Stegostoma tigrinum: one gene and its partners. The protein of the gene in region 2 purifies or fractionates together with the protein of the main gene of each other region. This does not show direct contact. Links are inferred from orthologs where the notes say so. Each region holds a gene or a part of one and is shown on either strand. Other genes may lie near its edges.

Region 1 (10,089 bases), on a different chromosome or scaffold from region 2:
TGGGATCATTACGATGACGAGATTTTGATAGGATAAATGCCAAGAGGATACATGTTCTAAGATAATAACTAACAAATGCACTGGAGAATTCAGAGGAGACTTGTTTATCTGCACAGTAGTCAGTACGCAATACTCACTACTACAGAAAGTAGATGAGGCAAGTTGTGTGGATGTTTTGAAGGGAAGCTAGGTCAACATGAGGAGAAATGAGTTGAAAAAATTAAAGGAAGTAGGCTGTGAAGAGCTCTCTCACAGCACAAGTCAGTTTGGCCAAAATCTGTTTCCACGCTGTACACTATGAATTTCTAGGCTGAGAGGATTACGTGAAAGGGGTGACTAGAAAGAATATGCCAGAAATGGACACATGAAAAAAAAATTGTGTGTTAGCAACATATTAGAACTGTTGGTGTGGAAGAACATGATGAAATGGGCTCAATAAAAGTTTCTTTAGAACAATCTCATCCAGGTAAAATGGGCTTTGAACAAGCAATCAGGGAATCCCAAATAAGAAGATCTGTGACATAACCCAACAATTATACACACATTTAAATAAAGTACTCCGAGCAATGAATCAGACTGATACAAGAAAAATGCAAATCTTACATCTGTGGAAGCTCAAAGCTGAATGGGTATTCATGTTTGCCTGAAGGTATAGTGGTGAGACCTTCTTCAGAATCATCATCATCTGAAAAAAATAAAACACTGGAGTAGCAAACAAATAATTTTGAGTCATGCAGCCAACACATGCCAATTGATAAGAGCTGGTGTCCAATGTATCAACAATTTAATTTGTAACACATCAATGTCTGTTTTTGACAGGTCCAATTTAGGGGAATAGAACACTTATGCAACTTCTGTACAACTTTAATACTCAAGATGTTAACGCAATACAAGTAACTGGCGCAGTACAAGAGGAACATTTGTAGACTTCAACATGCACTTTGTGGAGGCTATCTTGCTCTACTCTTAACAAACTGTACAAATAGCCAAACCTTCCATTTTTAAAAATAAACTTTTAGAATGATATGATTACAACATTTAAAAGGCACCTGAATGGGTACATGAATAGGAAGAGTTTAACAGGGATATGGGCCAAATGGGACTAGATTTATACAGGATAGCTGGTCAGCATGGATGAGTTGGACCGAAGGATCTGTTTCTGCGCTGTATCTCTCAATGACTACGTGGGTGTTGTTTGCAAATCTGCCATTTATTGTTCATTATTCCCAGTTACCAAGGCAGACTTGTTTGAGAGCTGTTGATACAATTGAGCAGCATACTAGAGTGCTCCTGGAATGAAAAAGGCCAATTTTTTTATTGAATGATGAAATAGATAGGCTGCAGCAATTAAAAGTCAATTATATAATATTTGTTAGCAGAAAAGTCATATGTATACCAAGTCTCAATGTAGATCAACATTTTGTTTTAAAGTCTAACACTCCAGTACTTGAAGTTCGAGTTGGAGACTGCAGAACAAAAGGTAATGGTTTTGTTGCTGCCTATAAAAAATTAAAATAACGCAGTTAACAATTTCTTCTGTTGGTTCCTAGCAATAAACACATTACTCCTCCAGGAAATGGCGAAGGTACAGTTAAGGTTGATTGTTACTAGGCGATCACCAGCGTTGTTTGAAGTGGTCCTATCAAAAGCTGCAAAGACCGAGCTGCTCCACCCTTGCACAGCTACAGTTGAGCCTTTGGGGCTTTTATTTTAAGGATAAACAATCTGACCTTCTTTATTCTCCGCAATGACGTGACTGTCCAACTACCTCGAGCCCATTTCTATGCCAAGTCATGGATTTCCTGACAAACGACAGCAACCTGATGCTGGGGTCTCTTCACCGACAGCATCATTTAAAACACTGCACCTGTCTACTGAAATTGGAACACCCTCCCCATAAAATTAGGGAAATTAAAATCTAATGTTTTAATAGGGATTAGTGCCTTTTTTCTAAAATAAACTGTTAAATCACTAGAAACGTTCGAAATCCTTACACGGTGCAATTTGAAGATCAATTTCTATCCATAGCATTGTCATGGTTAAAAATAAATTTAAGAATAATGTTGAATCTAAAAAAATTGCAACATAATACAACATTATTTGTAACGATTTCTTGTGCAACTTTATTTTCCTCCATGAGGTTCTGCCTATTTCTCCCTCTCCCCTTTTTCTGCCAGCTCAGCACGCTCAGCTTTGCAGTGAAGCGGTAAACAAGTAGTGAGCTGTCAATCAGCAGCAGGCAGACAGCGGAGAGAGCCGGCCTGAACCGGAGCGAACAGCCCAGCTCAGCCGCAACCACATGGTATTCATCAGCAGCAGCAGAGCCCAGCCCAGCCTAGTCTGCTCATAGAGGGAGGGAGAGAGGGGGGAAACAAGAGCAATGGAAGGGAGGGGCTGGACACACACCAGGCGATCCATAAATGCAACCCATTCTCAACGCACACACGTAGAAAAAGGATTTTTTAGAATTTTTTTAAAAAAAGAAAATTGTTGTGTTGTCATTTGGACTTAAATTGTTGCTTCGGCCTCTTATTTTAAGGGCTTGAGAATCGCACATACGATTGACTACAATGTTCATCAAAAGGGGAGATTTAACGTTGCCACTGTTCTCAGAAATAAAATGACATCGATTATACACGTTCTAAATAATGATGCATTCCTGCCACGTCCCTGCTTTACTAAATCCACCCTTTTTATAAGACCATGAACTCTTAAAAGATTTTTTTTGCAAGAGTCGATCACTGAAGCAGAACAAACGATAGGTGATAGACAGCTCCACTGGCCAATCTAAAGTTAACGGCGCCTTAGCAACAGTCTAACAAACAGAGGAACCAATCGGCACGTCGGGGAGGAGCAATTGCAACAAAGCCAAGCTAAACGACAGAAAACTTGGTAAGACACAGCACGCCAAACTTCATTGTATTACAATTTCTACCATTTTGCAATGAATAAATGGCGACTGCACATCATTTACACGATGTACTGTGCAGATTGTAGAATCTCAAAAATATCTGTTTGAAGAAACTAGAAATAAAGTGAACATCTCTGCCTTTTCACTCAGCAAGGTTAAGACAAATAAGCACAACTGTATTCTTAATCCGCTGATCGATCCTCCTCCGGAATATTTAAGGTTGATGTAAATATGTACTGAAAAAAAACATGCCAGGGGCTCATTCTTTTCCGTATCCATGAAAGTAGATTGAAATAACGCAATTTCATAGAAGATTTGCAAATTGAATTGATACGGTATTACACCTATACCCACACACCGGTGTGGAAAAAGGTCATTTCAAGGAAAAAAATATATTTTTATTGGTAATATACATATATTACGAAGGTGCAAAGCAGCTGTTGCAAATTGTTTTTCTGCAAAATAGCATTAAGTCATCCTCACCATCTGACGGTGTAAACCAATGAGCGAAGAGAAGACTCACATTCCCCCTCCCTCCCCCCTAATGCTTGTCCCAAACAGGATTGAACCGCTTTGAACAAAGGGTGGAAACTTAGGAAAACAACTAACCTTTTTTGAATGTTACTGAATATACAGTAAATTTGCAATTGTTAAATATATAAGTTTACAAATATAATATTGAGACAAGCGATGTCACTGCAGAAATCTATATATAATCAATTTAATGTCAATGACACCTCTAAGTGATGGGTCGAATAATGTTGCTGTAAGCCACATAGCACATCAAATTTAGATTAAATGGCCCCATTGTATCGATTTAGAAATTATTTGAATAAGTTTTTCCTTTTAAAAATAACGAGTTTTCGAACATTTTTGGACTGTAAATTCAAAGACTTGGTCTGGAAGTCACTGCACACACATTACTGCAATTATTGAAAGGGCAGTCAGGCATTTATTTTCTATTGTAATTTAGACATTTGGTTTCAAATCTGAATTGCAAAGAAAAAAACGCTTGGATGGATGAAACTGTCACTAGAAATTCAACAGTGCAATCGTTTGGATTTCTTTTGCATATTACAAAATGACGGTCCTGAACAGGAAGAAAGGAGTTAAACCCTATAAATCGGTGCAGTAGAATTACTGCAATTTCGAAAATCGGCAAAATATTGTCACGAAATTTGTTTGAAACCATTGCTAACCACCCTATGTAAAATCTCACCACTCATTGGCAAACAAATTGGCAGTGAAAGGTGAGTGACAGGATACCGAACTTTTACATCTATGAAGTTATGTCAAATGAAATTTTAACTCCTTTATCTTAATACTTATAATAACTAATAACGTTTTATAACATTAAAATTGCACTTCTAAATTGGTCGTACAATCTGATCTCCATTGCTCACATTTTACAGTAGGGTTACAGTAAGCTGCACAAAGACTTTAAACAAAACAAACTCTCAGATCAGAAAGATTATTTGTTCCAGTTCCAAGCTTACCTCTATCATGCCCGATTAAAAGGTCTTTGTGGCTGAAATACTCTACTTCTTCAGTGTAGTTCTGAGTATAGGCAGTATTAGAACCAGCGTTTCTCGATTCTGTCCAGCGTACTTTCGCCTGTCCCCTCGCATGGATTGCAAGAGATCTCGCCCTGATTTCACCAGTAACTTCTATAATTACCCGTCCAGAGACAGAATCTCCGCTGGCATAGACGGGTATATTGTTATCATTAGGACAGTCATAGCTTATTGTAAAACTCTTCACCTTTCCCAGCACCATGGTTATTTATAATCTATGTAGATATACGTGACTATAAAAAAAGTACAAAAAAAATCTGAAAAGTGGGATCTTCACCACTGATCAGTGCCTTTTGCTGCAAAAACAGCAGGCACGACCACTGCAATATTAAAAAGGAGCATCTGGATTTGGACAGTTAGAGATGCTGTTGCCCAGCTTTTGGTCTGTACAAAAGACGGGGATATCATACCTACCACCTCACTTAAAACGGTTTTTGTGAAAAACAACTCCAGTGCGCCTGTGCATGATTCACCCTGCTTCCGCCTTGAGTCTAGAGCCAGTGCCAGCTGATCAACAGCTGATTGAGGTCATTCCCCCTTAAAGTAGACTAGTAGCACAGAGACAAACATATAAAATACATGTTTTTTATTTGCACCATTAAAAATATACATATATATAATATCAGAATTCGCAGTCTATCGTGCCGCAGGCATTTTTTGTACTAACGCGATTACAAAAGGTCATTAATTCCATCAATTCAATGCACAAGGCGAGCATTCGAATTAGCGCCACTCCCCGGTTTGTTGCAGTAACACATGGGTCACGTCGCATGCATCTGCCGCACTCATGTTGCATTATTCGTCCGTGCGGTAGCAATAGATTTTGAAGGCTTTATTCTGCACATTAAAATAGACATAACCGTCGCTGAAGCACAATACAAAATAATAATAGCGGTTGTTGCAATTGTTGCACCCAAGTAATATTCGGTGTATAATCCTCCTCTCGTCAGTCTTCTACACCTTGTCGACACCGTGTGGCTATTTCATGTAATAGCCAATTCCAAATTTACAACTACTTAGGGGTACTTTTTAGAGATAACAAGATGTAGAGCTGGATGAAGACAGCCTGTTACTTTTTACTTGTAACTTAATTTCCTTTATCCCCGACTTAACATCCGTTCGATTTATCACAGCATTCTAACGTTTCTCCGTCTTCTGTTTTACCTCGCACATATGTCATTTCTTTTCCACATCTATTTTGAACTTTTATACATTCACGTCTTTCACTCGCTTTCAACATTTCAGCTACTGCCCCGAAATAAGCAATCCACGCAATATTGATGTCTCTTTAAAAATATTTTCACAATGTAAATCTTTCTTGAGGCTCCATGATTTATCGGCGAAATGTAAAGATTGCGTTTTGACGACTTTTTAAACATGACGTAGAAGTAGGAATAAGGACCTTCAAACTGAAGCCTGTAACGGCATTCAATCTGACTCCTGCACTGCCACAATGATGCCACCCGAAGGTTGCAGGAACAGCAACTCATATTCTGCCTGGGAACCCTGCAGCCATATGGTATCAATGTGGACTTCACCAGTTTCAAAATCTCCCCTTCCCCTACTGCATCCCCAAACCAGCCCAGTTCGTCCCCTCCCCCCACTGCACCACACAACCAGCCCAGCTCTTCCCCCCGACCCACTGCATCCCAAAACCAGTCCAACCTGTCTCTGCCTCCCTAACCGGTTCTTCCTCTCAGCCATCCCTTCCTCCCACTCCAAGCCGCACCTCCTTGACCTGTCCGTCTTCCCTGGACTGACCTATCCCCTCCCTACCTCCCCACCTATACTCTCTCCACCTATCTTCTTTACTCTCCATCTTCGGTCCGCCTCCCCCTCTCTCCCTATTTATTCCAGTTCCCTCTCCCCATCCCCCTCTCTGCTGAAAGGTGTAGGCCCGAAACGTCAGCTTTTGTGCTCCTGAGATGCTGCTTGGCCTGCCGTGTTCATCCAGCCTCACATTTTATTATCTTCAACCTGATGACGGCTGGTTTGTATCGTTATTCTAGCTACTCGATGTGGTTCCATAAATCCTCAGTTACTCTGCCCAACGAAAATCCACAAGTGTCAATTGTGGAATTGTCAGTTGTGCAACATTAACGGCTATTAGGGTAACAAGGTGTGAAGCTGGATGAACACAGCAGGCCAAGCAGTATCTCAGGATGGCAAAAGCTGACGTTTCGGGCCTAGACCCTTCATTATTCCCTTTTCTTCACTAAGGGAAAATAGTTTAACTAACTCCAACTTCTCTATCAAATCTGTTATTCACCTTAATCACCTCAATTAGGCACTTGACAAACCTGGGGTAACAAGTGTGACAACATCTCAGAACAGATTGCGTGGAAAATATCTACATTTGGTGTTTTTTTAATGGACTTGGACATCACTAGCCCAGCCAGCATTTTTTGCCTATCCCCACAATTTGAGAAAATGGCAGAGTCACCTTTTTGAACTGCAACAATCCATGTGATTAGGGACATCACAATGGCTGTTAGGAAGGGAGTTCCAGGATTTTGACCCAGCAAGAGTGAAGGAATGACAATGTATTTCCAAGTCAGGATGGCATGTGCTTGAGGGGAACTTGCAGATGACGGTGCATCCAAGCAGATTCCTGCTGTTGTCCAGGGTGTACAGTTTGCAGGTTTTGATCATGCTTTCAAAGGAACCTTGGTGAATTAATGCAGTGCATCTCTGAGGTGGTACACAGTGCTGCTGCTGCATTGTTGGTGGAGGGAATGAATGTTGATGGTGGTAGAAGTGTACCATTCAAACAAGTTGCTTTTGGTGTTGAGTTTCACAATTGTTGTTGGAGCTTTATGCAAAGAAGTGGAGTGTATTCTATCACACTCCTGACATGTGCCTTGCAGGTGGTAGACAGGTGTTGTAGAGACAGGAAGTGACTAATCTTCTATACAATTCCTTGACTCTAACCTGGTCTTGTATTTATATGGCTTGTTCAGTTTCTAGTCAATGATAACCCATCGGATGTTCAGAAGTGATGCAGTTAGCAATGGTAATGCCATTGAATGCGAAGGGGAGACAATTAGATTCTTTCTTGTTGGAGAAGGACATTGCCTTGTAGCTGTGGGGAGTGTTTCTTCCACTTCTCAGCCCAAGCAGGACTATTCAAGCCTTGCTGCACATAGACAGATTGCATCAATATTTGTGGGGTCATGAATGGTTTTGAACACTGTGTACTCATCAATAACCATTCCCAGTTCTGATTTTATGGTAGGAAGAAGCTCATTAAAAGTGTAGCCGAAGGTATTTGGTCTAGGGCATCCTCCTGGGAATTCCTTGCACTGGATGTAAGTTTGCTCGCTGAGCTGGAAGGTTTGTTTTCAGACGTTTTGTCGCTTTTTTTTAATTTGAAAAAATACACTTTATTCATAGAATGTACAAAAAGTAAAACATTTATACACCTACCCAGTCATGCAAGCCGCTCCAGGTTACCCAGGGGGTACGTACACCAACTAAAGGAAAAAACAAAACAAAGAAAAAAAACAAAGCAAAGAAAATACCCCGGCAGTCGTCTCCCCGCACAGCCCCCGTTGGCCCCCTGACCAGTTGGGGAAGGCACCAGCTGGGCCCAGTTATCAGATAGGGCCCTTGTTTCTATTCTGGACGAGGGGTTTCATACGGTGGTCTTTCCCCACAGTGCCTTGGCAGCGGCTGCCCCAAGCTTGAGCGCGTCCCTCAGCACATAGTCCTGGACCTTGGAGTGTGCCAGTCTGCAATACTCGGTTGGGGTCAGTTCTTTCACCTGGCAGACCAGCAAGTTGCGGGCAGACCAAAGAGCATCTTTCCCTGCATTGATGGTCCTCCAGGCGCAGTTGATGTTGGCCTCGGTGTGCGTCCCGGGAAACAGCCCGTAGAGCACGGAGTCCTGTGTCACGGAGCTGCTCGGGACGAACCTCAACAAATACCACTGCATCCCCCTCCAGACCTCCTGCGCATAGGCACACTCCAGAAGGAGGTGATAGACAGTCTCGTCCCCCCCGGCAGCCGCCTCAAGGGCAGCGTGCGGTGGCGCAGAGATTCCGGGCATGCATAAAGGATCTCACTGGCAGAGCCCCTCTCACCGCCAGCCAAGCAATGTCCTTGTGCTTGTTTGAAAGTTTTGGCGATGAGGCATTCTGCCAAACGACTTTGGCAGTCTGCGTGGGGAACCACACGACAGGATCCAACCTCTCCTTTTCCCGAAGGGTCTCGAGAATTCTACGTGCTAACCACTGCCTGATGGCCTTTGTGTTTTGCGTCAGTCTTCACAGTGGAAGATGTGAGTAGTATGCCAACAATTAGGGAGAGCCAGGGGGCAGAGTTGAGTACGGTAGGCATTACAATAGAGAAAGTGCGAGAAAAGCTAAAGGGTCCAAAAAATTGATTAACCTCCTGGCCCCGATGGGCTACATCCTAGAGTTCTGAGGGAGGTGGCTGAGGAAATAGCGGAGGCTTTGGTCGTGATCTTTCAAAAGTCACTGGAGTCAGGGAAAGTCCCAGATGATTGGAAAATTGCTGTTGTAACTCCCTTGTTTAAGAAAGGATCAAGGCAAAAGATGGAAAATTAGAGGCTGATTAGCCTAACCTCGGCAGTTGGTAAAATTCTAGAATCCATTGTCAAGCATGAGATTTCTAAATTCCTGGAAGTGCAGGGTCAGATTGAAACAAGTCAGCATGGTTTTAGTAAGGGGAGGTCGTGCCTGAAAAACCTGTTAGAATTCTTTGAAGATGTAACAAGTATGTTAGACCAGGGAAACCCAGTAGATGTTATCTATCCAGACTTCCAAAAGGCCTTTCATATAGTGCCTCACGGGAGGCTGCTGAGCAAGGTGAGGGCCCATGGTGTTCGAGGTGAGCTACTGGCTTGGATTGAGGATTGGCTGACAGAAGGCAGAGAGTTGGGATAAAAGGCTCTTTCTCGGAATGGCAACCGGTGACGAGTGGTGTCCTGCAGGATTCAGTGTTGGGGCCACAGCTGTTCACCTTATATATTAACGATCTGGATGAAGGGACTGGGGGCATTCTGGCGAAGTTTGCCAATGATACGAAGATAGGTGGACAGGCAGGTAGTACTGAGGAGGTGGGGAAGCTGCAGAAAGATTTAGACAGTTTAGGAGAGTGGTCCAGGAAATGGCTGATGAAATTCAATGTGAGTAACTGTGAGGTTTTGCACTTTGGAAAAAAGAATACAGGTATGGACTATTTTCTAAACAGTGAGAAAATTTGTAAATCAGAAGTGCAAAGGGATCTGGGAGTGTTGGTCCAGGATTCTCGAAAGGTTAACTTGCATGTAGAGTCCGTAATTAAGAAAGCGAATGTAATATTGTCATTTATCTCAAGAGGGTTGGAATATAAAAGCAGAGATGTGCTTCTGATGCTTTATAAGGCTCTAGTTAGGCCCCATTTAGAATACTGTGTCCAATTTTGGGCCCTACACCTCAGGAAGGACATACTAGCCCTGGAGCGTGTCCAGCGGAGATTCACATGGATGATCCCTGGAATGGTTGGTTTAGCGTATTATGAACGGCTGAGGATCCTGGGATTGTACTCATTAGAGTTTAGAAGGTTGAGGGGAGATCTCATAGAAACTTACAAGATAATGTA
Region 2 (10,065 bases):
AGGAAACTGGTAAAACCAGCAATTCAGCATTCTATGAAAGTCCTGCATATGTAGTCCAGATTGCTGAGATATCCAGGTATCCAAAAATTACTGCCACAGTCAAAAGCAGTTTGTTAGTTGTTACACCTATCTCAAAATAACGACCCTGGATTTTATTTCCAAAAGCTTCTAATGGAGAATAAGTATTAATATCTGGACTCAGGCACTGGAAAGTGGGAGAATCTTTTGGGTAGGAGGAAATCCTATCAACCTGCTGTAAAAATTCACTAATAGTTCATGTTTTAAACATGCTACATCAAGAACAGTTGAATTCTATTGCATTTTTTGGAATATGTAACTTGTCAAAGTGTAATGCAATATAGGTTTGAAATGGACTGTGTAGCGTAAATATCAAAAGCTTTACAATTGTATTGAGGCACCTCAATGTGAAACTGAGGTTGTTTTGAGATTTTATGCCACTAATTTTCACATCCACACACTTTGTTCAATAGCATTTGTAAAAGTACATTGCAAAATACATTTTAAGGAGAAAAAAAAGTAAGGTATCTTGTTAACTTCTACTGGCGTCATAGTGTTACACAGCGTTGAAACAGACTTTTCAGTCCAACCAATCCATGCTAACCATAATCCTAAATTAAACTAGTCCGACCTGCCTGAGCTTGGCCCATATCCCTCCAAACATTTCTTATTCATATACTTATAAATGTAATAACTGTAAGAAATCTGTAAGTAAATTTGCAATCTCAAGAACAGCCGCAAGATCCAGGCTACTCAGTCCGCCCTCTTTTATTTAGTATTAATTTCTTTAAAAGGAACAATGGGACCACCCGCACAGGAACATTCTGTTTTCACAAAGACCTGAAATCCAAAGTCGTAAAATAAGCCTGCGATAAATAATTACAAAAACAAACATATTGGTGAGAAGGTTGCATTTATTGTGAAGTCTGAACAGTTTCTACCAGTTAACGAAACTGGCCTGTTTTCTAACGCAGTAATAACTAACTACCAGCTGCTATGTAATTTATCCAAACTTTTCGTCCAAAAGATGGGGGCAAAATCTAAGATTATATATAGTCCGAGCTATTGGAAGTCGGCGGATTTTGATGACAAAGAAACGTAGTGACGATAAGTTTAGCTACGAATACTTTGTTTTAAATTAAGCTAAAATCACGCAATGAAAGTGATTTGAAGATATAAAGTTTTATTTGTACACGAATAGACAGCCAATATTGATTCTAAATAATAAATATCCAAAATTGTTTCGTTTCTTAATTACCTGAATTCATATGAAAATCCAAAATAACTGTTTTGTTTTGACGTTGTGCGAAAATATATCGACCCAGAAATCAAGTAAACATTGAACTGCCCCATGCCTGTTCAGCGCCGAAATCACGAGCATTTATTGCACATAATCCCACAAAGATCCGCTCCAAGCGTTGGCGTACAGGAAAATTCCAATACCCGGACTCAGGAACTAGACAATGCCACAGAAAGCTCAGGTTAACATTTCAGTAGGATAGCTTTTGACTGACATTGGTACAAGGTAATTATTTACTATTAAAAAAAGTTTTTCTTGTTGTTGTTCGACACTTATTCACGTGAAACCACGCAGTCTCTATCTGCGAAACGTATGGGGGGCGGGGAATGGAAAACGACAAGCCTCACCTTCATTGCAAAGAGAAACGTCCAGAAGAGCTACAGCGATAATGGGAACTGCAGATGCTGGAGAATTCCAAGATAATAAAATGTGAGGCTGGATGAACACAGCAGGCCAAGCAGCATCTCAGGAGCACAAAAGCTGACGTTTCGGGCCTAGACTGAGCTTCAGCACTGTTTGACTCGAAAAAGTGCAACATTGCAAAATACAGTTACGCACTTAAAGGTCACAACGAACACACCACAGTACAAGTACAGACACAAAATGTGAACGCGCCGGCAAATGAGCACACACGTTTGTTTTCTATTTTATGAAAATGCGTGGATGAGGAATGGGAAGGGGTGGGGTGTTTCCTAACTCGAACTGCGCGCACGCAGTTGCAAACCCGTTGGACATCTAACTTTGAGAAATCGGATAGACTGGACCCTTCCTCCTCCTCATATACAGACATCCCACTCATTTCTCTTTGTTGGGAGGAAGTTGGGCGATCTCGCTACTTAGTGACCGCAATGCACATCTCTTTTCTCACTGTCTAACAGCTACTGTACTGACTATTTGACTCCAATGTTTCCAGCAACTGCACTCAACAATCCTTCTTTGAGATCCCTTCTTCAGCCGAATAAATCGCCTGATGTTTTGTGATATAGATCACAATCCCTTCTAAAATGGTGTGCCAGTGAGCATCCAAGGGGGTAAAGAGGGCGCAAAAATGCTTTCAGTAAGGTCGACATGGCCTTTATATAATAGGCGTCATGCGAGTTGTAAACATTTAAACACTCCGTTAATGCTCATGTAGCAACATTCAAGAATTGTCCTTCTGTTTTACTGAGCTGGCTTACATCTCCCGCGGGGCGGGCTGGGGGTTCACACACTTTCACCACAACGTCCTTGCATTGCGTTCACTGAGTTATGAGGTAGGCGAATGCATGAAAAGTACAAGCGGAATCGAGCTGGAACATCTCGTCTTACTCAGTGTCAAGTTCGTGTGCCCCCTGTTGCTGAGTTCCACTAGTTGTGTGGGTGTCGGTTAGCCGCCGCTATATGACCGAATCTAGGAGCCTGTGTTCATTGCCATCGGGCTGGGGGCTGCAGTTCGCAGCTGCGGGCGCCGCTCCTTCGAAGCTGCAGGGCAGACCGTTCGTCAGGCGATCCTCGCTCGGCACGGGGTTGTCATTGGGATAACTGCTGTGGTGGGTGGACGGCAGCGAGCCCCGGCAGCCCCACAGCACCGTCTTGAAGGCATGCCTGAAATCCGAACTGCGGCAGTATATGAGCGGGTTAAAGGCCGAGTTGGAATAGCCCACCCAGTTCAGGAAAATGAACACGGTGTTGGAGATGCTGTCCTTAAAAATGACATTGACGATATTCACCACGAAGAAGGGCAGCCAGCAGAGGGTGAAGACGCCCATTATAATCCCCAGCGTCTTCAGAGCTTTGTGCTCCTTCAGATTGAGAAACCTGGGCGTCCTTTTCTGCCCCTGTTTGGCAGCTTTGCCATTCACAGAAGGGGCAGGCTGGTTCAAGTTGTTGTTGAGATTGTGGAAGCGACCCTGGTACTTGTTGATCTTCTTCAGCTGCTGCCTGGCTTCCTGAAAGACCCGGGTATAGAGGAAGACCATGACGAGCAGGGGCAGGTAGAAGGATACAATGGAAGAGGAGATGGCGAACTCTTTGTTGGTGAGGAACTCGCAACACCTGGGGTCGGTGTAACATTTCTGGGAGTCCGGGTCATCCAGCCTCCACCAGCCCATGTAGATGGGCAGGAAGGAAGTGAGAGCCGCTACCATCCACACTAGGAGCACCACCAGCCGCGCTTTGCACTTGGTCAGCAGCGTTTGGTAGCGGAAAGGCGAGGTAATGGCCAGGTAGCGGTCCAGGGCGATCACACACAGGGTGCCAATACTCGCCGTCACGCACAGAACATCCAGCGAGGTCCAGAAGTCGCACCAGAAGTTTTCAAAGTACCAGACGCCGGTGATACTGCGGACCCCACCGAACGGGACAACGATCAGCCCCATCACCAAGTCTGCACAGGCCAGCGACGTGATGAAATAGTTGGTGACCGTCTGCAGCCGCTGGAAGCGGGCAATTGCCGTGATCACCAGCACATTACCGAACACGATCACCAGCACCATGACCGACATGACGATACTGACAATGATCTTCCAGGCCGGGCTCAGCTCCTTGCGGGTGACCGCGCTCTCGCTCCCCGGAGCTGCGCTGCTGTTCAGCATGTAGGGGCTCAGTGGGAAATAGACACTGCTCTCTGAGCTACTCTCCTGCGAGCCCATTCTCAGCGGCGCTGCACATAATGCCAGCAGCTCTCCCTTCTCCTCACACTCATATCACTCGGTGACTCTACAGCCGGCCACTTAGCCCTCTCTCTCTCTCTCTCTCTCTCTCTCTCGCCCGTTCGTTGCAGAACTCCGCTTTGTGGATTCTGTTTGAGCGCTCCTTCCTTTTCGCTTCTATATAGCGCCCAAGGGGGGCGGAACGTCATAATCTTTCACAACCAATCGCCGTCTACCTGCAGCTTCAAACCTCGAAGCCTGCACCCATCGTTAGCTGCACTATTTACCTCCAAGTATTAGACACAAGTGGCGTGTTCCCCGTCAGTCCGACCACCACTGGGGCTCAGTAACTCAACTTCACAGTATTCAGAAAGGATACAGGATTCGGGGCTATTCATATAAATGGGAGAAGTAGCCATTTGTCAATCACAAAAAAGACATACTTTTATAGTAAATTGCCACTTTTTAAAAAAATTCTAGGCTTGAGAAATTCTCTGCAGAAACCAGCATTCGTGCCAGATTCTCACCATCACAGCGCAAGGAACACAGACGCTGAAGTCTGACTTCCCCCCCCACCCCACCCCCACCCTCCAAAGCTTCTGACAGCGCGTACTCCCAATCTGAAGTTTACTGGGATTCTGCTACTCGAATCGAGACCTCCCGGCTTCAATTTCACCCTCCCCTCGAATGAAGTCGCGCATTGTTTTTTTTTTCTTCTTTTCCTGAAGACGATATTCCTGTTCTGAAATGTGACGGGTAAGCAGTGGAGGTAGGCTCAGTGCAGACTTCCTGACTTCTCTTACGCCGGCTAGGCACACGCGCGCACACACACGGAGCTTCACACACTAACTGTAGTCAACACTCACTTTGCCACTTGAGGCTATACGCTGAACCGGGACCGCTCGGTCATGAATCAAACCTGACCCAAACTCTACATTCCGGTTAGGGACATACACCAGGCTTTATTTCACTGCCCACAGTGATGGGCCAGCAGACTTGCCATCACAAACACAGTGCAAAAAGGTGTGCCTCCCATTTATTTCTGCACATTGGCAGAGTTATCGCCTCCTCCAGACAAAACGGAAGTTTTGCTTTCTTTCTCTGTTGTGCCTGTCCTGAAAGCTTTCAGATATGTTTCCATCTCCACAAGTTCGATGTTCGTTGTGGTAAGCGCATTAGACCATTTTACACTATGTTAACTGCACAAAATAAATGCAAACTGTTGTTGGACACGCATAACTGTAATACTTCGCGAGATTTCTAGAACAGCGCGAATTGTTCTACGTTGCCGACTTATTTTATCTAAATGCTGAATTCTCCAAAACATTTTGATTTCCAGGGAGACAATCGCTCCAATGGTTAAGTGTACGATCTCGCTGGGCTGATGCATTATTTGCATATGTACGTTCAAAGGATGTCAATTGAAACTGTCTCTCTTGGTATCTGATGTTTTATTAAAATATTTACTGTGGCAATATACTTAATAGCATGTTCCCTGGAAAAATATACCCTACTGACATTCCCAAGAAACTACCTCGGTGAATATAATTTTTAAACCAAAATTAGCTACAATTTGAAGTAATGGATTATATCCTAAAGTAAATCAAAATATTGTCGTCAGCTTGGGTTATTATGTAACATTTGCGCCTCTGAGTCAGTTCAGGATCTAATCATCTCAGAAGGTTCCAGCATAATTATGTTGAACGAGGTTAGAAGTTTGGATGACAAGTGTGCTTTCGTGTGACCGTTAAATATCTCCTAACAGTAATGGAAGGATAAGCAGGGAAGTAGTGCCTGGTTACTTAGTAGCAGTTTCATTTTTGTCTCAGTTCATCCACTCAACTGACCCCAAATATCTCTTCTGTATGGAATCCAAATCGTTCTCTATTTTCCACGAGGTGCGTACACTGGTCCATCCGAATGAACAAACGCTTCCGATGTCAGTTCTAACTTTGCTTTTCACTAGTTCTAACCTCTAGTCTCCTGTAATATTTGCAATGTAACTGCATGTTCTGGATTAACCGTTTACATATCGTTTACACAATGTTCCATAACAAATGCAGACATTTCGGGCCTAGACCCTCTGATGAAGGGTCTAGGCCCGAAACGTCAGCTTTTGTGCTCCTGAGATGCTGCTTGGCCTGCTGTGTTCATCCAGCCTCACGCTGTATCATCTTGGATTCTCCAGCATCTGCAGTTCCCATTATCTCAGACATTTAATATCCAGTTAGAGGATTCGAAAAGTAAATACGTTGACACTATGTTAACCTTTTTGTGGCAGAGGTTTAATTGATTCTGTGGGAGATACCAGAGCAATTCGACATTATAATCAATGGGCACCAACCCGGTTATATTTTAGCCCTCCGTCACAATATCCCACTTTGGGTATCAAATATCTGCGGCTGTTGTCAGGAATGGGAATGAGAAAACGCAATCCATTCAGATAGCTTCGGACTAAGTGACCGATGTGTATAGCCCCAACGCCAAGCACCTCCGCTACCCTCGGGGAACAACGTAGAGGATCCAAATGATGTCAAGGCAAAAGAAGCTAATGACGTTCCCGGCTCTGAAGAGGTGACACTCTCAGCGTGACCATCTCTTCATGTCTCCGTTTGAGATATCGCTCGTCGTTGGCAAACAAAGCTTCTCGCAGAGATCGACACCGAAATCGATATTAGGGTCGCCCGGTTAAATCAAAATCCTGAAATGGTACAAGTGGTAAAGTAGGACGCGAGCCTGTACATATCTCTGGAAAAAGTACAATATATTAAAGAGAAGTTGGGCACTTATAAGCGTCAAGGTTGCATTAGGTCAGATGAACACAAGTCATTTTCAACTAACGTCTGCTCAATGACGCTGGAGAATCTACAAGTGCCTCTCGCTTCCCAAGTCTGTTCAGTGGGTTGCTACAATTGAAAGCATTGGGACTGTTACGTTTCTCCATAAATGTAGATGGTTGATTTCAGTTATCACATTTGCTTGTATGCCGAAGGAGATGGTGAATGGGAAATTGAAAATTATTTTTACATTAGCCTTGGTGTAGATTTCATATGATGTTATCCAATACTAACACGAGAAATTGGTACGTAATTTGATCCTAAAGCGGCAGGGCATCTTTTGATGAGAAAACAAACAGAAGGGAATGGTAATGGTAATTAATTAACTCAAAAAACAAACAAAAAAATCCTACGTAAGTAGTGTTTAATGAGGTAACACAAGATGCGGAGAGATCCGAGTTCCGCCAGCAAACAAAAAGTTAATGTGCCTTAAAGCACATTGTAGAACTGCACAGTGCCCCAAATTAATGAATCAAATGGAGGAATTGCTCCGAAATCTCCAGTACAGATTTCTGTAGCCAAACCGGTCTGATCTTTAAAAGGGCTAGAACAGTTCCAGGATATTTATAAATCAATTAATGGCTATTTATACTTCGTTCTAATTATAAAAGGCTGACGTTCGCACCGAAATAAAGTGTCACGCATGTTACGTCTTTTAGAAAACAGGTAGATTAAAATGCTGTCGCTAGCTATTCATTTTGCTTTGCGTGATAAAACGAAACAAGTTTGTATTAAGAAAAAATGTCAGGAAGGCGTCAGGCTTTCCACGCAAATCAGCGTGTTTGAAGTTGATAGTATTTCAAATTAGTATGATGTTTGGCTCTGTAAACAAGGGCATTAGATAGATAAGCAAGGGGAAAAAACAAGTTTACTAGACTAATGCTTGGAATGAGTGGGTTGTTTAACGAGGAAAGTTCGGACAGACTCCAGGAGCTGAGAAGGCTAAAAGTCAAGTAGGTTGAAACGTAAAATCCTGAGGGATCGTGACAGGGTCTGTGTGTAAAGGATGCTTCCTCTTCTGGGATGTTCCGCAACTCAAAAGATAAAGTCTCCGTAATTAGTTATAAAGTTATATGGTATGGAAACACACCCTTTGGTCCAGCTCATCCAGGCTGACCAGATACCCTACATTAATCTAGTTCCAGAGATAATGGGAACTGCAGATGCTGGAGAATCCAAGATAACAAAGTGTGAAGCTGGATTAACACAGCAGGCCAAGCAGCGTCTCCGAGATGCTGCTTGGCCTGCTGTGTTCATCCAGCTTCACACTTTGTTATCTATTAATCTAGTTCCATTTGCCAGAGCTTGGCCGATATCCCTCCAAACCACTCCTATTCATGTACCCATCCAGCTGCCTTTTAAATGTTGTATTTGTACCACCTTCCATCACTTCCTCTGGCAGTGCATTTCACACACACACCACACCACCCTCTGAATGAAAAATTGCCCCATAGTTCCCTTTTATATCTTTCCACTCTTTATATGTTTATAAAATTATTCCCTCTGGTTTTGGACTTCCTTACTCTGGGAAAAAGATCTTGGCTCTATAAGGTTGTGCCTCAGCCTCTGACACTCCACAAAAATTAGCCCCAACCTATTCAGCCTCTCCCTATACCTCAAGCCCTCCAACCCCAGCAACGTCCTTGTAAATCTTTTCTGAACTCTTTCAAGTTTAACGACATCTTTCTCATAGCAGGGAGACCAGAACTAAATGCAGAAGTCCAAAAGTAGCCTTACCAATATCCTGTACAGCTGCAATGTTTTTACTCAATGCAACGACCAATAAAGGAAAGTTTTGACAGACCTTTGGACTCCTCTTTTATTAGAGAGACAACCAGTGGTGGACTAGCCTCAGGGCTATCATGCCCAGGCGAGGGGAAGAGATTGAGAAGGAGAGTCCTATGTATAATCTCAGCTGGTGCCAGAGGTCACTGTTTAAAAATAAAGGGGGTCCACATTTACGACAGAGAGTAGGAGAATTTTTTTCTCCAGGAGATTGTGAGCCTTTTGAATTCTCTTCCTCAAAAGCTGGAAGGAGTGGTTGGACCTTCTTGTAAGGCAGAGGTAGATAGATTCTTGTTAAATCAAGATATGAAGGATTATCAGAGATAGGTGGAAAGGTGGAATAATCAGAGCAGTCATGATCTTACTGATTGGCAGAGCAGGCTTAAGGGGCCTCCTAGAATCATAAAAATCATAGAATGATACAGTACAGAAGAAACACTTTGAGCTTTCATGTCCGTGCTGCCAGAAATGCTCTACTACCTACACGAGTCCCATTTTACCACACTAGGCCCCTTAGTCTTGAATGTGATCACACCTCAAGTGTAGTTTTTAAAAGGTTGTGAGGTTTCCAGACTTAATTAACACCCCATGTAATGCATTCCAGACTACCACCATGGTCTCGGTGAAAAAGTTTTTACTTAAATCATCGTAAACCTCCTGCCTGTCCCTTTAAAATTATGTCCCTTTGTTGACCTTTCAAGTGAGGGGAATAGCAACTTTCCATCCACACTGCTTACGCCCCTCACAGACTCAAACACTTCAATTATGTCCCTCCTCACTTCTCTGCTCCAAAAATAACCAAGCTTATCCTAATACTCTTCATAGTTCATCTGCTGTGTCTCAGGCTTCATCCAGCTAAATCTCCTTCACACCCCCTCCAGTGCAATCACATCCTTCCTATAACGTGGTGACCAGAACTACACACAGTACTCCAGCTGTGGCCGAACCAAAATTCTGTACCAAAACAGCTGTAACATAACCTTCCTGCTCTTATAACCTACGCTGTCATTGATAAAGTCAAGTGTCCTGTATGCTTTCTTAACGACCCCATTAACCTTTCTTGCCACCTTTAGGGACCTGTGTGCAAGCGTGCCAAGATTCCTCTAAGCTTCCTCATGTCTGTCAGTGCACATTCTCTTGTGCTATTCCTTCTTCAAAAGTGCATAATCTCACATTTATCAGGGTTAAATTCCATCTGCCACTAATCTGCCCATCTAATCAATCTACTTACCTCCTGTAACCTAATGCCTTTCTCCTCACTGTCAACCACTTGGCCAAACTTTGTATCATTGGCAATGTACTTACCCCACTCCCCTACATTCTTGTCTCCATCATTTATGGATATCACAAGCAATGCATGTACAACATCTTGGGTTCTCCCTAATTTTTCCCATTAGTATATTTTTCATTGCCTCAACAAAAAGTAAAACAAAGTACTGTGAATGCTGGAAGTCAGAAGCAGAAACAGAAATTGCTGGAAAAACAACTCTGCAGG
Region 3 (10,947 bases), on a different chromosome or scaffold from region 2:
GAGGGAGGTACAGCATTTAGGGAGGAAATTTCAGAGGTTAAAGCCAAGACAGTGAAAAGCATGGCACCAAGAGAAGAAACAAAAGTGACTGAGGCTGTACAAGAGGCCAAGTTGCAAGAATGCAGTACTCTGAGAGATAAGGAAGAGTAAAGCAATTATACACTGGAGGGATAAACCAAAGCAATGGGTACTCTTGATGCTGTGGAGGGGTATCATGTTTCAGCTAAGGTTAGATTGTGAACCACACTGCAATTTTTCTGCGTGATACAATTTTGGAACCACTTAACACTGATGCTTATGCACAAACATTACTCAATCTTTAGTTAACATAATTAAGCTGAAAAATAATGTGCAGCGTCCCGTGAATATTCACCATCATTAATGTTTTCCAACGTTTAGATTCCTCTGTACCCTGTTACTTCAGGGGTCAGAACAAGATTATAACCAAAGTATATAAATAAGGACGAAATGATCTCCCCAATTTCCAAACATTAATCGCGGAATATGGTCTGCATTATATCCAACTCATGAGAAGTCTACTGTTTATAATTCCAGCAATAGATTGTCCTCATACAAGCTGACTGGCTGAACTATCTGCATGTTACTGAACTACACCAAGATTGACATCCTGATGTGTGCTAGCACAGATGCAATGACAACATTACAACCCCTATTTATGGCATTATCTTCCCCATTTATCTTACTGACTCAGAGTAAGCTTGAGCCTACCCATGTGCCAAAGTCCTGTATTCCTAAAGGGCTCATAATTTTCAATTCACCTTTCTACTTAGCAGCCCACCTATTTTTCTTCATTCATTATCAGAATGGTGGCGTCACTGGCCAGGCAGTATTTATTGCCCATCCCTAATCGCCCAGAGGGTCAACCACATGCTGAGTCACATGTAGGCCAGACCAGGTAAGGAGGGAGGCAAGGAATGGCAGTTTCCTTCTCTAAAGGACATTAGTGAAGCAGATGGGTTTTTCCGGCAATGGATTCTAGGCCATCATTAGATTCCCAATTCCAGACATTTTTACTGAATTCAAATTCCACCAAGTGCCGTAGCGGGATTCAAACCCAGGTCCCAGAACGTTGTGTGGGTTTCTGGATTAACAGTCAAGTGACAATACCACTCAGCCATCACCTTCCCATCCCACAACTGATCCACATTCTCTCCCAGCAGCCAAATGGATGAAATACCTGACATCTGCTGACACCACATTGACATGTATGCCAAAATGAGTTAGCATATTAACTGAGATGGGTGGGGCAGAAAGGATTAGGAAACAATGTACAGCAATTTGATGATCATAACTGCAGCAGCATCTGCTTATGTATAACATCCTCTGTCAGAACTGTGGGATATTTCTCACTTGTTGCTCTTAAACGCTGTCAATTCTGGACATTCAATCTCCACCTCCATTCATTCATAGCTCACTCACAGACCAGGTACTGAACCTGCTATTTTTCACACAAACACTCAGGCTTTGAACACCCAGACTTGTCATTAATTCACCTCAAACTCTCAACCAGGACTATGTAGAAGGACAGTAGGGACACAAGAAAACGGTCAGAGGATTAGATATGATATAATAGATATACAAATTACCCCAACCAGCCCATGCCAATATTAAATTATTGAGTCCCCATCCATCTTTCCACAATTAATATTGTAACCCTCTTCCTCATTTATTTGTCTAGCTTCCCCTCAACTGCAGCCATACTTTGTTTCAACTGTGCCCTCTGCTAACAGCTTCCACATTCTTCATCACATGCTTATACCCTTCCAAGTCATAAACCCTTCAATCTTGGAACCACTCACTGGGTCAAAATTCTGGCCTGATAGAACTGTAGGAGCGCTTTCACCATATGGCCAACTGCAACAGTTCAAGAAAGCATCAATTCGGACTGTATACATTTGGGCTCAGAAGAATGAAAGGAGATCTAATTTAAACACATAGAAGTCTAACTAGGCGACAGAGGCTGAATGCAGGGAGAATGTTTTCCCTGGTTTGGAAGTTCAGAACCAGGGTCACAGTCTCAAGTCACAGGAAAGATCATTCATGATTAAGATAATCAACATGGAGAATTACTGATTCATCGGATGTGGGAAGATGGCACGTAGTTATCAGCAGGATGTTTCCTTGCCCATGTTTCACCTGAAACAGATTCATGGAGTTCGAAGTCAATGTTGAGGACTCCCAGAGCCACCTCCCTCCTAACTGAATGCCACCATGCGGCCACGTCTGCTGGGTATAGCCAGCCAGTGGGACAGGAAATATCTAGGGTTGGTGCTGTGTCTAGAACATTGCACGTAAGGTATGATTCCTTGAGTATGACTATGTCAGGCTGCTGCTTGACTAAACTGTGAGACAGCTCTCCCCGTTTGGCCACTAAAACCCAGAAATAAGGAGAAAAGGACTGAGTTTGCCACTGTCAATTCCAGTTTCTAGGTTGGTGTGGTAGTTCACCAGTTTCATTGCAGTTGAGGCCATTTATCAGACAAAACACATGTGGGGTAATATTGCTACATCTACTCTTAATTTGTGCGTATTTAACTCCCTGGATGTGAGTTTGCTCACTGAACTGAAAGGTTAGTTTTCAGACGTTTCGTCACCATTCTAGGTTACATCATCAGTGAGCCTCTGACGAAGCGGTGGTGTTATGTCCCACTTTCTATTTATTGGTCATTGAATTTAGGAATTGACAGGCATTGAGCAGAAAGGAGTAAGATGAGAAGAAACTTCTTAGACAGTTGAATTTGGAATGTGTTGCCTGGGATAGTGTTGGAGGTGGATTCCATATGAGATTTCAAAAGAGAGCTGGATATTTATTACAAAATGATGAATTTAGAGGGCTGTGAGGCAGAGTTGGAGAATGGGACTAGCTGGATAGCTCTTTCAGGAGCCAATACAGACATGATGGGTTGAGGGGCCTCCTTCTGTACTGTAAAATGCTGTGATTCTATGAAACCATTCTTCACTCAGATTGTCAACCTGGAGAATTTTCAACCACAAAAGGCAGTGGAGGCAAGTCACTGAGTATATTGATTATTATTGATTAGTGTTTTGATATTAAAGGCATTTAGAGTAATGTAGAGAAAACAGGAATATAGTGTTGAAATATAGGATCAGTTGAATGACACAGCAGGATTAAAGGGTTGAATGGCCTACTCCTGCTCCTAGTTTGTGTGTTATGTTTCATTCAGGGGACAGAGTGAGGGGAGCAAACCACATAAAAGAAAAGCATGCCTGTAGCTCTGCAACAAAACAATAATTAATACCTGAGATAACAAGATGTAGAGCTGAATGACCACAGTAGGCCAAGCAGCATCTTACGAGCTTGGCCTGCTGTGTTCAACCAGCTCTACACCTTGTTATCTCAGATCCTCCAGCATCTGCAGTTCTTACTATCTCTGAAATAATTAATACCTCCCAATTTATAACGCCTACCCAGCCTAACAGGGGCAGCCTGCATTCTAGCCCATGGCAACCTGTTGAAATGACAAGTAAATTGGGATATGGGGGGGGTGATGACAAGAGAGTGGGGATTTCATGACCAGGCGGGAGGGTAAAGTTGAGTGATCAGAAGGCTTGGGATGGAGGTGAGGTTGGGGGTATAATGATAACCAGAGTCTTGGGGAGGAGGGGGTGATGGTGTTTGTAGGTGACCAGAGAGGAGGGAGTAGTCAGTTTGTGACCAATCCCGCGGGGCCCGAGTCCCGGCTTGAGCCTGCATCAATCAGCCCTCAGCGGGGCCTAGACAAAGCGGGAGAGGCCACCCTCTGTCCCGGGGCCGACACCTCCACACACGGAGGATCCAGCGCCGCCGGCCAGAGGCCTCAGGCACAGCCCCCAGAAGACACTGTGTAACCGGGAAACGAGGAAGAAGCCTGTCATGCTCAGGGAGAGTTTGCACTCGAAGTACGGTTCTCACTTACCCAATTCCCCGTTCCTCGATCTCATTCAATTCGCCAGCCGCCACCGACTCTCACCCACCCGAACCGAGCGGCTCCAGTCAATCACAAAACCCCGCCCCAAATGGATCCTGTCAATCTCCGAATCCCGCCCCCGAGAGGCTCCAGTCATCCACAAAACCCCGCCCCCAAGTAGATCCTGTCAATCACCGAACCCCGCCCCCGAGAGGCTCCAGTCAACCACAAAACCCCGCCCCCAAGTAGATCCTGTCAATCACCGAACCCCGCCCCCGAGAGGATCCAGTCATCCACAAAACCCCGCCCCCAAATGGATCCTGTCAATCTCCGAATCTCGCCCCCGAGAGGCTCCTGTCAATCACAAATCCCCGCCCCCAACTGGATCCTGTCAGTTTCCGAATCCCGCCCCCGACAGGATCCAGTCAATCACAAAACCCCGCCCCCAACTGGATCCTGTTAATCTCCGAATCCCGCACCCGAGAGGCTCCAGTCAACCACAAAACCCCGCCCCCAAGTAGATCCTGTCAATCACCGAATCCCGCCCCCGAGAGGCTCCAGTCAACCACAAAACCCCGCCCCCAACTGGATCCTGTCAATCTCCGAATCCCGCCCCGAGAGGATCCAGTCATGCACAAAACCCCGCCCCCAACTGGATCCTGTCAATCACCGAATCTCGCCCGCGGGAGGCTCCTGTCAATCACAAAACCCCGCCCCCGGATTGCCCCTGCCAATCTCCGAATCCCGCCCCGAGATGCCCCAATCAACCACCAATGTTCTGGGGACCTGGGTTGTAATTAGGATAATTTTTGTTCACTCAGGGTTTGTGAACCCTTGGAGTTCTCTACCACAGAAGGCTGTGGAAGCTCAATGTTTGAACATATTGAAAGTAAAGGCAAGGTAACATCACCAGAGTCTTACCAGACCAATGTTTAAGGTAGAAATTGTTGCATTTGAACGTGGACTGCTTCAATATCTGAGGAGTCATGAACGGTGCTGAACATTGTGCATCCATAAGCAAACATCCCCATGTCTGATCTTATGATGGAGGGAAGATCATTGATGAAATAGCTGAAGATGATTGGGCCGAGGACACTACTCCGAAGAAGTCGAGATGACTGACCTCCAGCAACTGCCACCATTTTCCTATGTTCCAGGTATATCTCCAATCAGCAGATAATTTGTCCCTGAATCCCATTGATATCAGTTTTGCAGAGGCTTCTTGAGCCTTGGTCAAATGCAGTCTCATTTCTGGAACCCAGCTCTTTTGTCCACATTTGAACCAAGCCTGTAATAAGGTCAGGAGCTGAGTAGCTCTGGTAGAACATAAACTGGGTGTCGGTGAGCAGGTTATTGCTGAGCAGGTGCTGTTTGATATCACTGTTGATGACACCTTCCATCACTTTACTGATAACTAAGAGTAGACAGATGGCATGGTAATTGGCTGGGTTTAATTTCTCCTGCTTTTTATGTACAAGACATAACTGGACAATTTTCCATATTGTTAGGTAGATGCCACTGTTGTGGTTGTATAACAACTTGGCTAGGGGAGCAGCAAGTTCTGGAGCACAAGTCTTCAGTACTATTGCTGGAATGTTGTCAGGTCCATAGCCTTTGCAGTATCCAGTGTCATCGGCTGTTTCTTGATATCACATAGAGTGAATCGTTGGCTGAAGATTGGTATCTGTAATGCTGGGGACCACTGAAGGAGACCGAGGTGGATCATCCACTCAGCACTTCTGGCCGAAGATTGCTGCGAATCCTTCAGCCTTATCTTTTGCACTGATGTGTTGTGCTTCTCCATCATATTTGTGGAGCTTCCTCCTCCAGTGAGTCATTTATTTGTCCACCATCATTCACAGCTGGATGTGGCAGGTCTGCAGAGCTTAGATCTGACCTGTCCATTGTAGGACTGCTCAGCTCTGCCCATCGCTTACTGCTTTCACTGTTTGGTGCACAAATAGTCCTGTGTTGTAGCTTCACCAGGTTGATACCTTATCTTCAGGTATGCCTGGTGCTGCTCCTGGCATGCCCTCCTGCACTCTCCATTGAACCAGGGTGGATTCCCTGGCTTGATGGTAATGGTTGAGTGGGGGATATGCTGGGCCATGAGGTTACAGATTAAGCTGGAGTACGATAAGAATTAGAATCCCTACAGTGTGGAAACAGGCCCTTTGGACCATCAAGTCCACACCGAACTTCAGTGCATCCCATCCCAGACCCTATAACCCACCTAAGCCACACATACTGAACACTATGGGCAATTTAGCATGGCCAATCCACCTAAACTGCACATCTTTTGGACTGTGGGAGGAAACCCGTGCAGACACGGGGAGAATGTGCAAACTCAGACAGACATCCAAGGCCAGAATCGAACCTGGGTCCCTGGTGCTGTGAGGCAGCAGTGTTAACATGGTGCCACCCCAATTCTGCTGCTATTGTTGGCCCACAGTGCCTTATGGATGCCTGGTCTTCAGTTGCTACATCTTTTTAAAGTCTGTCCCATTTAGCATGGTGACAGTGCCACACAACACAATGGAGTGTATTCTCAATGTGAAGGTGGGACTTTTTCTCCACGATGAGTGTGCAATGGTCACTCTTACCAACAGTGTCGTGGACAGATGCATCTGCAGCTGGCATACCAGTAAGGTTGAGGTCAAGTATGTTATTCCTTCTTGTTGGTTCCCTCACCACCTGCCACAGGCCCAGTCTAGTAACTGTCCTTTAAGACTCGACCAACTTGCTCAGTGATGCTGCTGCCAAGCCGCTCTTGAAATCCTGAAATCCCCACCCACATTCTGTGCTTTTGCCATCCTCAGTGCTTCCTTTAGGTGTTGTTCAACATAGAGGAGTATTGATTCATCAGTTGGGAGAGGATGGTACGTGATAAGGAGCTGGAGGTTTCCTTGCCCATGTTTAACTTGAAACCATGACACATTGTGAGGTCTGGAGTCAATGTTAAGGATTCCCAGAGCAACCACCTCCCAATTGTATACCACAGTGCTGCCACCTCTGCTGTGTCTGTCCTGCCGGTGAGAAAGGACATATTCAGGGATGGTGATGGTGATGTCTGGGACATTGTCTGTAAGGTATGATTCTATGAGTATGACTATGTCAGGATGTTGTTTGTCTAGTCTGTGAGACAGCTATCCCAGTTTTGTCATTAGCTCCCAGGGGAATTTGCAGGGTCAACAGGACTGTTTTTGCTGTAGTCTCTTCGTGGCCTTGGTTAATGCCAGATGATCCATCTGGATTCATTTCTTTGAGAATTCATAGTGATTGATATTAACGGAGTGGCTTGCTTGGTTATTTCAGGGGGATGGTGAGATCCGGCCATATTGCTGTGGGTCAGGAGTTACATGTAGGCCAGACCTAAAATACATTGAGTCAGATGGGTTTTTCCAACAATGGTTTCATGGTGATCATAAGATTCCTAAATTAGAATTAGATTCTTAATTCCAAATATTTTCGTTGAATTTAAATTCCACCATCTGCCATGACAAGATATAAACCCAGGTCCCCAGAACATTTGCTGAGTTTCTGGATTAATACTCCAGTGAAAATACCACTCGGCCACCGTCTCCCTTACTTTGAAAATAAGGGGTCTTTTCAGACCTCTCTTTTCCAGAAGGGCATGGGGGCTGGATATTTAAATTTATTTGGAGGCCAAGTTTGACTTTTTTTTATTAGACAAAAGACGGTTAAAGGATGCAGATAGGAAAGTACAGCTGAGACCAAAACCAGTTCAGACATGAACAAAAACAGAAGTTGCTGGAAAAGCTCAACAGGTCTGGCAGCATCTGTGAAGAAAAAAAATCAGACCCGGACCCGAAACGTTAACTCTGATTTTTTTCCTTCACAGATGCTGCCAGACCTGCCGAGCTTTTCCAGCAATTTCTGCTTTTGTTCATGATTAACAGCATCTGCAGTTCTTTTGGTTTTTATTGAGTTCAGCCATGAGCTTATTGAATGGTGTAGCAGGCTTGAAGGGCCAAATGGCCTTTTCCTGTCACTAAGTCCCAAAGTTCCCAGCACTGATTCCTTCTACCAATGCTGCAGCAATTACAGTGAGTTGAACTATCACCTGGAGACATCGCAACAACTTACAAGACTCTTTCAATATCACTTCTGAACCCTTATTTTTGGTAATAATCTTAATTGAATGTCTTCTAATTACTGCACATGTAATTAAACATACCAAAGTCTCTCATAATTTTGAATACCTACATCAACTATCTTCTAAATTTCCATTGTTTTTAGAGCTACAGGGGTCACTGTTTAAATATAAGCAGTCAAGCCCCAGAAGGAGAAATCTTTTCTCTCAGTGGCCCTGAGTATTTGGAATTCTATTCTTGAAAAACTGGTGGAAGCAGAGTCTTTGAATACTATTCTTTCAGAAACTGATAATATTCTTGATGAGAACAGGGTGCAAAGTAATCAAAGTTAGGCCAGAATCAGATCATCCATGATGGTTAGAATCGTGGAGCAGGTTAAGGGGCTGAGTGGCCACCTCAAACTCCTAAGCTGTATGCTCTTTAATCAGATATTCCCAGTCTTTTTCACCAAAAATATATTTTTTTTGTCACTGATATAAATGATTTGGATGTGAAAATAGGAGAAATGGTTAGTAAGTTAGCAGACGAGGGTAGGGCACTCCAACATTAGAGGGCATAGGCTTAAGATGAGAGGGGAATTATTTAATAGGGACCCCTTTTTCACACAGAGGGTGGTGCATGTGAGCTGCCAGAGGAAATGGCAGAGGCTGGTACAATTGCAACATTTAAAAGGCATCTGGTTGGGTGCATGAATAGAGGGATATGGGTGAAATGCTGGCAAATGGGACTATATTAATTTAGGATATCTGGTCGACATGGACAAGTTTGACTGAAGGATCTGTTTCCATGCTGTACATCTCTATTACTCTGTGACTGTAATCCACTAGATAACTTTAGTGCACCCTTTCCATCCCTTCTCCAAATCCTTTCCATCTGTTGAGGTTGGTTGGCTCACTGGGTTGGTTTGTTGTTCCACAGACATTTCGTTACTGTGCTTGGTAATGGACAGGACAAATGTCATCTACAAGATCCCCTGCAGAGACTGCGAGAAACACTACATCGGACAAACAGGAAGGAAACTAACAAGAGAACATGAGCACCAACTGGCTACAAAAAGACACGACCGATACTCACTCATCTCAATCCACATGGACAAGGAGAACCATGACTTCGACCAAGATCCCGGGACAGGCTAGGCAGAGACAAGCGCGAGAATTCCTGGAAACATGGCACTCCACGAAGCAGGCTATTAATAAACACATTGAATTTGACCCCATATACATTCCGCTACGTAGGACATCTGGAAGTGAGGCAATCCATCGCAATGGACCCCAGAGTTTAAAAGCCAGGCAGGAAAACACACCGATGCTTCATCAGAGGCTGCACTGAGGATGTTACCCAGCACGGTAACGAAACGTCTACAGAACAACAAACCAGCTCGGCAAGACAACCAACCTCACCCCCACAACCCAAGCTACAAATCTACTCCAAAACCTTAGAGATCCTTCACATGTTTCCCAAATAAGCTACTAAAAACAGACACTGCAGCCTAACCAATGATTTAATTAGTTTTAGCATTTACACTCCAATAATCAGTCATAGCGTTTGAGACCCCTTTGGTCCATCATGTCTGTGTTAGTTATCAATTACCTATCTATTCTAGTCCTACTTTCCAGCACTTGGTCCATAGCCAAGTGTTCTATGATGCTTCAAGTGACCATTTAAACCCTTCCTAAATGTAATGTTAGTTCCACCCTCTACCACCCTTTCAGGCAGTGAGTTTCAGACTCCCACGACCTTCTAGGTGAAAATATCATCCTTAAGTCCCCTCTAAACTTCTCAGTCCCCTGGTTATTAATCCCTCTACTAAGGGGAAATGTTTCTTCCTATTTATGTCCCACATAATTTTGTACACTTCAATCAAATTGCTCCCTCAGCCTTCTCTGCTCTAAAGGAAACACTGCAGCCTATCTAAGGCAGTGTGTTGTCAATGATTTCATCTTGCTTTACAGTCAAAATACATTTATGTAGAAATAATACCTAGATAGAACTGTATGTTTCCTCTAGTATATAAGATATGTTAGCACAACAAGATATAAAACACATGGGGTGGCATGGTGGCTCAGTGCTCAGCAGTGCTGCTTCTCAAGGCCAGGGACCCAGGTTCAATTCCACCCTTGCGCAACTGTATGGAGTTTGCATATTCTCCCTGTGTCTACGAGGGTCCCTTTTGGGGTGCTCTGGTTTCTTCCCACAGTCCAAAGATGTGCAGGTTACAGTGAATTGGCCATGCTAAATCTCCCATAGTGTTCAGGGATGTGCAGCTACTTGGATTGGCTATGGGAAATATAGGGTTAGGGTAGCGAGGGGTGAATTGCTCATCAGAGGGTCAGTATGACTCATTGGGCCAAAGAGTCTGCCCCTACACTGTAGGGATTCTATGAAAATGACCAGCCATTTTGTACAAATGTAATAAGGAATATGGAATACATGCCTTTATTAACTGAGGTATTGAGTTCAAGAGCAGAGGTTACAAAAATAAGGTTGCTGGCAAAGCTCAGCAGGTCTGGCAGCAACTATGAAGGAAAAAACAGAGTTAACATTTTCGCTCTGGTGATCCTTCTTCAAACAGAGAGTTTATGTTAGTGCTGTTCAGCCACGTCAAGCCATATGAAATAGGAGCTGAAGTAGGATATACAGTTCACTGAGTCTGCTCCACCATTCAATGAGATCATGGCTGATCTGATAATCTTCAACTTCACTTTGCTGCCTTTTCCCCATGATCCTCCATTCCCTTACTGATTAAGAATCTGTCTATCTCAGCCTTTGCCATTTTCAACGACCCAGCTCATGCAACCCTTTGCAGTAAGGAATTTCACAGATCCACTACACTCAGGGAGAAGAGATTCCTCCTTATCTGTTTTAAATGGGTGACCTCTTATCCTGAGATTTTACCCTCTGGT

The links.
Region 1: the proteins of adrb2a (region 2) and arrestin domain-containing protein 3 purify together in Homo sapiens (affinity purification with western blotting; 6 studies listed by BioGRID and IntAct, with this or other methods). This does not show direct contact. The link is inferred for Stegostoma tigrinum from reciprocal best matches to the Homo sapiens genes ADRB2 and ARRDC3.
Region 3: the proteins of adrb2a (region 2) and usp33 purify together in Homo sapiens (affinity purification with western blotting; 3 studies listed by BioGRID and IntAct, with this or other methods). This does not show direct contact. The link is inferred for Stegostoma tigrinum from reciprocal best matches to the Homo sapiens genes ADRB2 and USP33.

The regions. Positions count from the first base shown.
Region 1 is NC_081356.1:92,344,210-92,354,298, reverse strand, and holds the start of arrestin domain-containing protein 3, read right to left. Parts: upstream 4,942-10,089; 5' UTR 4,688-4,941; coding exon 4,408-4,687; intron 686-4,407; coding exon 604-685; intron 1-603. UniProt on the Homo sapiens protein: Adapter protein that plays a role in regulating cell-surface expression of adrenergic receptors and probably also other G protein-coupled receptors.
Region 2 is NC_081366.1:51,361,966-51,372,030, reverse strand, and holds adrb2a (adrenoceptor beta 2, surface a), read right to left. Parts: upstream 4,220-10,065; 5' UTR 3,949-4,219; coding exon 2,695-3,948; 3' UTR 1,377-2,694; downstream 1-1,376. UniProt on the Homo sapiens protein: Beta-adrenergic receptors mediate the catecholamine-induced activation of adenylate cyclase through the action of G proteins. The beta-2-adrenergic receptor binds epinephrine with an approximately 30-fold greater affinity than it does norepinephrine.
Region 3 is NC_081361.1:92,424,168-92,435,114, forward strand, and holds the start of usp33 (ubiquitin carboxyl-terminal hydrolase 33), read right to left. Parts: upstream 4,045-10,947; 5' UTR 3,939-4,044; intron 1-3,938. UniProt on the Homo sapiens protein: Deubiquitinating enzyme involved in various processes such as centrosome duplication, cellular migration and beta-2 adrenergic receptor/ADRB2 recycling.